Canis lupus familiaris: one gene and its partner. The protein of the gene in region 1 purifies or fractionates together with the protein of each later gene. This does not show direct contact. Links are inferred from orthologs where the notes say so. Each region holds a gene or a part of one and is shown on either strand. Other genes may lie near its edges. The genes, in order: myeloid cell surface antigen CD33 and PTPN6.

The links.
Region 2: the proteins of myeloid cell surface antigen CD33 (region 1) and PTPN6 purify together in Homo sapiens (co-immunoprecipitation; 4 studies listed by BioGRID and IntAct, with this or other methods). This does not show direct contact. The link is inferred for Canis lupus familiaris from reciprocal best matches to the Homo sapiens genes CD33 and PTPN6.

The regions. Positions count from the first base shown.
Region 1 is NC_049222.1:106,345,901-106,350,423, reverse strand, and holds the start of myeloid cell surface antigen CD33, read left to right. Parts: upstream 1-1,473; 5' UTR 1,474-1,542; coding exon 1,543-2,017; intron 2,018-2,194; coding exon 2,195-2,473; intron 2,474-2,700; coding exon 2,701-2,748; intron 2,749-4,053; coding exon 4,054-4,150; intron 4,151-4,395; coding exon 4,396-4,477; intron 4,478-4,523. UniProt on the Homo sapiens protein: Sialic-acid-binding immunoglobulin-like lectin (Siglec) that plays a role in mediating cell-cell interactions and in maintaining immune cells in a resting state.
Region 2 is NC_049248.1:8,008,271-8,011,107, reverse strand, and holds the end of PTPN6 (tyrosine-protein phosphatase non-receptor type 6), read right to left. Parts: intron 2,008-2,837; coding exon 1,940-2,007; intron 1,835-1,939; coding exon 1,683-1,834; intron 1,586-1,682; coding exon 1,494-1,585; intron 1,121-1,493; coding exon 1,006-1,120; 3' UTR 1,000-1,005; intron 814-999; 3' UTR 622-813; downstream 1-621. UniProt on the Homo sapiens protein: Tyrosine phosphatase enzyme that plays important roles in controlling immune signaling pathways and fundamental physiological processes such as hematopoiesis.

The DNA of each region.
Region 1 (4,523 bases):
AAGTGAATCTCACTAAGTCTAAGTTAGAATAAATTAAGAAATAAAGAACACATCTAGAAACTACTACAATTCTGCAAGAATTGGTTTAAAAATTTTTTTAAGATTTTATTTGTGTATTCATGAGAGGCAGAGACATAGGCAGAGGGAGTAGCAGGCTCCCTGCGGGGAGCTGATGCAGGACTCAGTTCCAGGACCTGGGGATCACGACCTGAGCTGAAGTCAGGCACTCAACCATTGAGCCACCCTCTATGGTGCCCTTCTATGTTAATACTTTTCAAGGAACATTTACTTAAATATTACTGTGTTTGGAAGATTTTACGAATGTATGATGGCAAAGGCTATTATATATTTATATTGTAAAAAGAGGCATCAACGATTTCCCAGCTGTGTACTCCACAGAGTGAGATGGGCAAGCATGTCAGCAGAACCTACAGTTTTAATTGCAGCTGTATAACCACTCCACTCATATTTTCTGCAAAAATATGTGTTTTGAGCCACATTTGACCTTGAGAAGCTTATTTTTTACATGACAGGAACTGTTAATTGTCTGATGAGGAACTAAAGAAATTGCTTCAGCCCACACTCCATTGTACAGACAGAGATTCCAATGGCTCATAAACATGTTTTCTCCCTTTTGTTTTACATGGAACTATGTAGTTTTTTCAGTTCTCCTTTTGTTTTTTTTTTTGTTTTTTTTTTTTTTCAGTTCTCCTTTTGGAGATCCAGTGACACTTTAGAAATCAGCATAATAGAAGTAAAAAAATGGTCCTATCCTTGTATATAAGAAAATATCCAGGAGACCAGGAGACACATTGCAAAGTCACAGGTGTCTGCAGCTGTGAACCTGATAGGGACAAAATGAAAGTATAGTGTATCTATGAAGGAAGTGGTACCCTTGGTTGGGACCACGTCATGGAATGAACTGGGTCAGGCCCAACTGTCTTATCTCCAGGTGCCCCCAACACAGATATTAACTAGGTATTTGGAGAATGGATGAATGAATGAATGAATGAATGAACGAGTGGCTCCTGCTTTCTCTTCATCCAGGACCCCATCTTTCCTTCTGCTCCAGACACTCACATAGACCTAAGAATCCTCCACCTTGCAGGACTGATCACCTGAGGATCTAGATGAGCCTGTGACTCCAGGTTTAGCCAGGAATTGACTAGCTCCCTGTTAGAGACAATACTGCTCAATCACCTCAGGTGGGAGGACCTGAGGAGACTCACTGTGTCCCATGCCTCATGTGTCCTCAGAGAACCTGGACCAGACTCTGGTGCCACAAACAAGTGCCAGGATGGGGGCAGTGAGGGTCCACTGAGAATCTCTTCTCCCTTGGGGGGGGGGTCTCCTTTGTTCTTGTCCAGGAGTGTGGCTGATTCTGTGCAGGGAGGGGGTGAGCTCTGGGGCTGCAGTTCCATTTCTGTGAACTACGAGGCCTCATGCTCCTCCCCAGCTTCTCATGGGTCCTTCCCAGCACCAATCCTACTGGCTTTCACTTCTCCTTCACCCACAGGAAGCCTACATACCCTCTTGTCTAGGATGCTGCTCCTGCTGCTGCCCATACTGTGGGCAGTTGAATGGGCCCAGGGGAAGGTGAAGTTGGGAGCCTCTGCCGACGCTGGAGTCCCAAGATCCTTGGCTCAAGATCCGATATACTGGCTACAAATACAGGAGTCCCTGACGGTGCAGGAGGGCCTGTGCATCTCTGTGCCCTGCTACTTCTCCTACCCCATGGAATACTGGATCAAGACTTACTCTGCTTTGGGCTACTGGTTCCGGAATGGGACCAATGTACATTGGGGTGCTCCAGTGGCCACAAACAACCCAGATCGAAAAGTACAAGAGGAGACCCAGGGCCAATTCTTCCTACTTGGGGACCCTCAGGCCAACAACTGCTCCCTGGAGATCAGAGATGCACAAAGAAGGGACTCAGGGACATACTTCTTTAGGGTGGAGAGAGGGCCTTATTTGAAATATAGTTACCTACAGAACCAGCTCTCCGTGCATGTGACAGGTAAGGAGAAGACTCTAAATGACACCATAGGGGTAGGACAGGGCTCCAGGACTCCCTGGGTGGGTTGGGAGATGCATCTGGGACTCACAGGCAGGGGCTGCACCAAGCTGGGGCTTCTCTCAGGGGCAGACCTCAGATCACTCCTACTGATCCCCATGTCTCCCCATCTCCTCACAGCCCTGACCCATACACCTGACATCCTCATACCAGGGACCCTGGAATCTGGCCACCCCAGGAACCTGACCTGCTCTGTGCCCTGGGCTTGTGAGCAGGGCATACCCCCCATCTTCTCCTGGATGTCAGCTGCCCTTACCTCCCTGGGCCCCAGGACCCACCTCTCCTCGGTGCTCACCCTCACCCCCAGGCCCCAAGACCACGGCACCAACCTCACCTGTCAGGTGCAGTTCCCTGCAGTTGGTGTAATGGTGGAAAGGACCATCCAACTCAATGTCACCTGTGAGTACAGAGCTAGGACCACCTGGGTGCCTAAGGGATGAGGGGAGGGAAAGCCAGCCTTAAGATGCCTGGCGCTTTAGTCCTAGAGGTCTGGTGGAGTGTGGGACCTAGAAAGACACAAACCCTGTCCCTTCTGTGTTTCTGTGGTTTCTGGGGTGGGGGGATGCCCATATGTATCTGATATTACCCCACCAGACTGAAGAAGGAAATCCCCTCTTTGATCCTAGGTACCACACAGAACCCAACAAATGGTGTCTGCCTGGAACACAGCACAGGTAGGAAGGAGCCTCATGTCCATGGGGTATTGACTGGCCAGGGTCTCTGTCAACTTAAGTCAGAGTGGGACTTTAGACTCCATGGATGAGGGTGTGTTGGTGTGCTGTGGTTAGACATGAGAAGCCCTCTCAGCCCTCTTCTCCCATAACCTCGCACTTTGGTCTTGCCCAAGTGACCTGCAGTTTTCTCTCCACTATCTTGAATATGCTTTTCATCAACCTCTGGTCCCTGAAGGCCTTGGAGCATTTTCAGTAGACTGTACTCTTGGAGGGGAGTTTTGGATTCATAGCAAAACTAAGCTGAAGGTAGAGATTTTTCCCCAAATGCCCTGCTTTAAGTGCATTACATCTCTACTATAAACATCCCCCACCAGAGGGTAGCTTTGTTACAATAAAATCTACATGGACGTCCTTTATCACCATCAGTCCATCCTTGACATTAGGGTTCATTCTTGGTATTATACATTCCATGAACTGGACAATGTATAATCACATGTAACCATCTAGTGTTACTGTGTGGAGTAATTTTGCTGCCCCAAAATGTCTCTGATCATTTTTTGACTGTCAATCCTCGGGCCTCACCTTGCCTTCTCTCTGAGCTTAGCCTTACCCCCATTGTTCTATCTCATTGATAATGATATCTGGCCCTCACCTGGATAGTGAGCCCCATTAGGACTCTTTCAGTGCATGCCAAATGGTTGACAGGTGATGCCCATGGACACATCCTTCACCTCGGGTGTGGGATGCATGGCCAGGCAGGGCCAGGAGAGCTGAGGGTCTGAGAACTCCCCTGCTTCTACCTGCCTCTGGAAGTGCAAAAGACCACATTTGACTCTGAGTGATAGGGCCAGTGGAGGCCAGGAGATTCAGACACCCTCCCTGGAAGGAAGGAGTGACTTCCACATCCCACAGAGCTCTGTACATCTCTCTCTCTCTCTCTTTCTCTCTCTCTCTCTCTCTCTTTCTCTCTCTCATTCTGGAATGCCAAGAGGGCTGAGAGCCTCATGGTCCCACTGCAGCCAGGTCTGGGATCTGCTGCAGAGAGACTCTGTATGAGGAAGAACCAGGATCCTAGAAGAGATGGTGTTTGCTAGACAGGAGTTCAGGGGCCAGATGGTATGGATAGAAGGTTTCACATAGACCATGTCCTTCTGGTGGAGGCTGAGGTCCCACAATGGGTAGAAGACCCTCAGGGCTGAACCCTGGACAGGAGTGAAAGGGTATCCCTCTCTGTGGAGCTGCAGAGGAGGCAATTTATGTCTGCACATCAAGATTGGAGTTCAGTCCAATTGTCTCTGTCTACAGGGAAACCAGGGACCAGGTCAGGAGTGACTGTAGGCGCCATTGGGGGAGCTGGTGTCACCATGCTGCTCACTCTCTGCCTCTGCCTTATCTTCTTTCGGTGAGCTGGGTAGGTGTGGGAGAGACGGGAAGAAGTGGGACCTGCAGGAGTTGTGATGTCTTGGAGCAAGGGTGAAGGGTGCCAAGTACAGGTGTGTTCTCAGCCCTGGTCCCAGTGGTCCAGGAGCAAGGGGATCTTGTTACAAAGTCTTGATATGAAGGCTCCTGGGCTCACCCCAGCCTCAACTTGCCTCAAAAGAATGACCCTATGTCAGAGACCCTTGTGTCTCCCGTGTCTCCCGTCAGAGTGAAGACCTGCAGGAAGACAGCATCCCGGACAGCAGTGGGCATGGACAATATCCACCCAGTTGTGGAGCCAGCTCCCTTGGTGAGTGATGTGGGCATCCTGGCATGCATCTCCCAGGGTGGCCCAC
Region 2 (2,837 bases), on another chromosome or scaffold:
CCTCTGCTGCTCCCCATGCTTGTGGCCTCTCTCTCTCTGCGTGTCAAATGGTTAAATAAAATCTTTAAAAAATATATATCTGTAGTGTTTTAAGTGGTGCCTAACGCATGACAAGTGTGTAATGAATTATCATTGCCATTTGTGGTCTTTCTCCCTTGTCACAATGATCTCACAATCACTCTGTCAGGATCATCCTCCATTTTATTATATATATATATTTTTTTTAAGTGAAGTATAGTTCACACACAATGTTACATTAGTTTCAGGTATACAACATAGTGATTCCACAAGTCTGTATGTTACACTCGCTCACCACAGTAAGTGTAGCCACCATCTGTTATCATACAATTATCACAACACCATTGACTATATTCCCTACGCTATGCCTTTGATCATTCTTCCCTGAAAGGACAGGCTGAGGAACCTGGCCCATGGTCACACTCCTAGTATGTTTAGCAGAATCCAGAACCAGGTCTGTATGGCTGTGAAGGCCTAGCTTTAATTTAATTTATGCGACCGCCCGCACACGCGCACACACACACACACACACACACACACCTCCCTCTTCGTCCCCTTCTGAGCCCCCTCCTACCCAAGCGTTCAGAATTAGAGACCCACACACAGTGATTCCCTGGGGCTTTATTTACAAGAGTAAAGGGCCTAGGGTCACCTGGGGCCTTGCTGGGCTATATACAGGGTCAGGAAGAGGGAAGTAGGGATGCAGTCTTTTAAATTACAATAGAATGGGGGCGGGCTCCTAAGTTCCGGCTGTGGTTGGTCCACGGGAGGCCTCTGCAAGGATCAGGCCTGAGGCTGCAGAGAGAAGGGAGTAAGAGAGTAAGAGGGTGCCTGGACCCGAAAAGGGGATCAAAAGGATCCAGAATGGTTGGAAAAAGGGCAGGGTGAGGTTGTAGCCACCCCAACCATCCAGGTGAAAGCATTGGATCCAGGGAACACTTGGGGCAGGGCAAGGCGGAGCCCGGAGCAGAGAGGCCATACCCTGGCTCACTTCCTCTTAAGGGAACCCTTGCTCTTCTCCTTGTCCGCCGACCGCTGCTTCTTCACCTTCTCCTCCTTCTTGTTCTTACTCTGCAAATTCTCATATACGTCCTCCTTGTGTCTGCAGGTGGGGTGGGCAAGTGTGGGCAGTTGCCACAGGTCAGGAGATGGGGCAGGATTACCCAGCACCAGCAGCTGCCTCTGGCCCACCCCTGTTTCACAGGTGAACAAACTTAGGCCAGGAGAAAGGAGACCCGGTCAGCGTCCTTTCCCTAGACTAGAAGCTCCTTGCGGGCAACAGCTCCATCTCACACATTAGTAATACCACCAGGACCTGGCATGGGACCCAGGTAGAGGACACTCAGGGAATATTTGTGAGCAGAGGGAGTAAGAGGCAAGCTTGAACTTGAACCCAGGTCTCCCTGACAGCGGCACTTGTCATCTCTGGAAAGGAAGGATCGGGCCAGGGAGGAGGGTAGGCAGGGGTCACTTACTTGGAAGAGGTGCGGGATGCCTTGGCATGGGCGTTCTTCATGGCTAGGGGGTAGGTGATGTTCCCATACTCTGACTCCCGGCCCTTCTGGGACTGTGGGCAGAAGTGTGGTGGGAGGGCAGTGGTCCCAGCAGGACCAGGAGACACCCACGGCCCCCCACCGCTCTGCTGAGCCCTGCTCTGCACATACCTGCATGACCTCCAGCTTCTTCTTCGTGGTTTCAATGAACTGGGCGATGGCCACATAGATGAACTTGTACTGTGCCTCCGTTTGCACCATGCCCGAGCGCTGCGCCCGCACCATCTGGATCGTCTTCTGGATGTCGATGTCACAGTCCAACCCTGGGCAGGCATGACAGTTGGACCTCAGGCCCAGGCAGAGGAGGACACTGAGGGGCCGCTCACCCAACACCCCCAACACCTGCATCGCCCATGGGTCACCCTCACCTTTGGTGGAGATGCTCTCCATGAGCATGTCGATGACAATGATGGTTCCTGTGCGGCCGATGCCTGCACTGGGGAGGGAAGGGGGCACCATCAGAGGCCCCGGCCATGCCTCACCAGGAAGGGAGAGCCCCAGCGTTCAACTCCAGCACGGTGGCAGGATGAAACTGAGGCTCCGGCGAGATGAGGTAACGTGCCCGGGGTCACTGGGCAGCCTAACCAGAGGCAGAAGCCTGCCGGACCCTGAGTTCCGGGCACTTGCACTCAACACTTCAGCCAAGGGATTTGTGGGTGGGCCCAGTTCTCCCAGGGCCGCCCCGCCTGGCCTTCCTTCTTTCCAGCATCTCACCCTTCCACTTCCTGCTCTGCCTCCTCATTGCTGGCTGGGGGCTGCTCTTCAGCCCACCAGGGTCCCTCCCCCCACCCACTCTGGCACTCTGGGCCTCCCCTGACCCTCTCCCGCACCCTTGGCTTGAATGAGGCTTCCCCGCCACTGCACACCCCAGCCCCACCTCGCACTCTTCAAAAGTTTTATTTAGATCTTCTTTCGAGAGGACTTTGTTTCCCGTTTTTTTCAGACCCTGAAGACCAGGAAAGGGCAGCCCTTGAGGCAGCAGGGCAGAAAGGTCACTGGGGTCAGGAGATGATGCGGAGATGCTGTGTGAAGTGTGAGGTCTCCCTTCTTTCCCCACCCTCCACCAGCATCCTAGAGCAAACAGATCCCAGGAAACTCAGGATCCCTCAGAGACCCCAGTTCTGTCTGCTTCGCGGGGCCGCCAGGCTAGTGGCCTGAGTTGCACTAATTTCAAACCCAGATTGTCAAAAATAACCCCCCCTTACCCACTTCCTTCCTGTAACATCTAAATAAAGGCCATGGGGATTTCAAGAAGTGGAAGGGGAG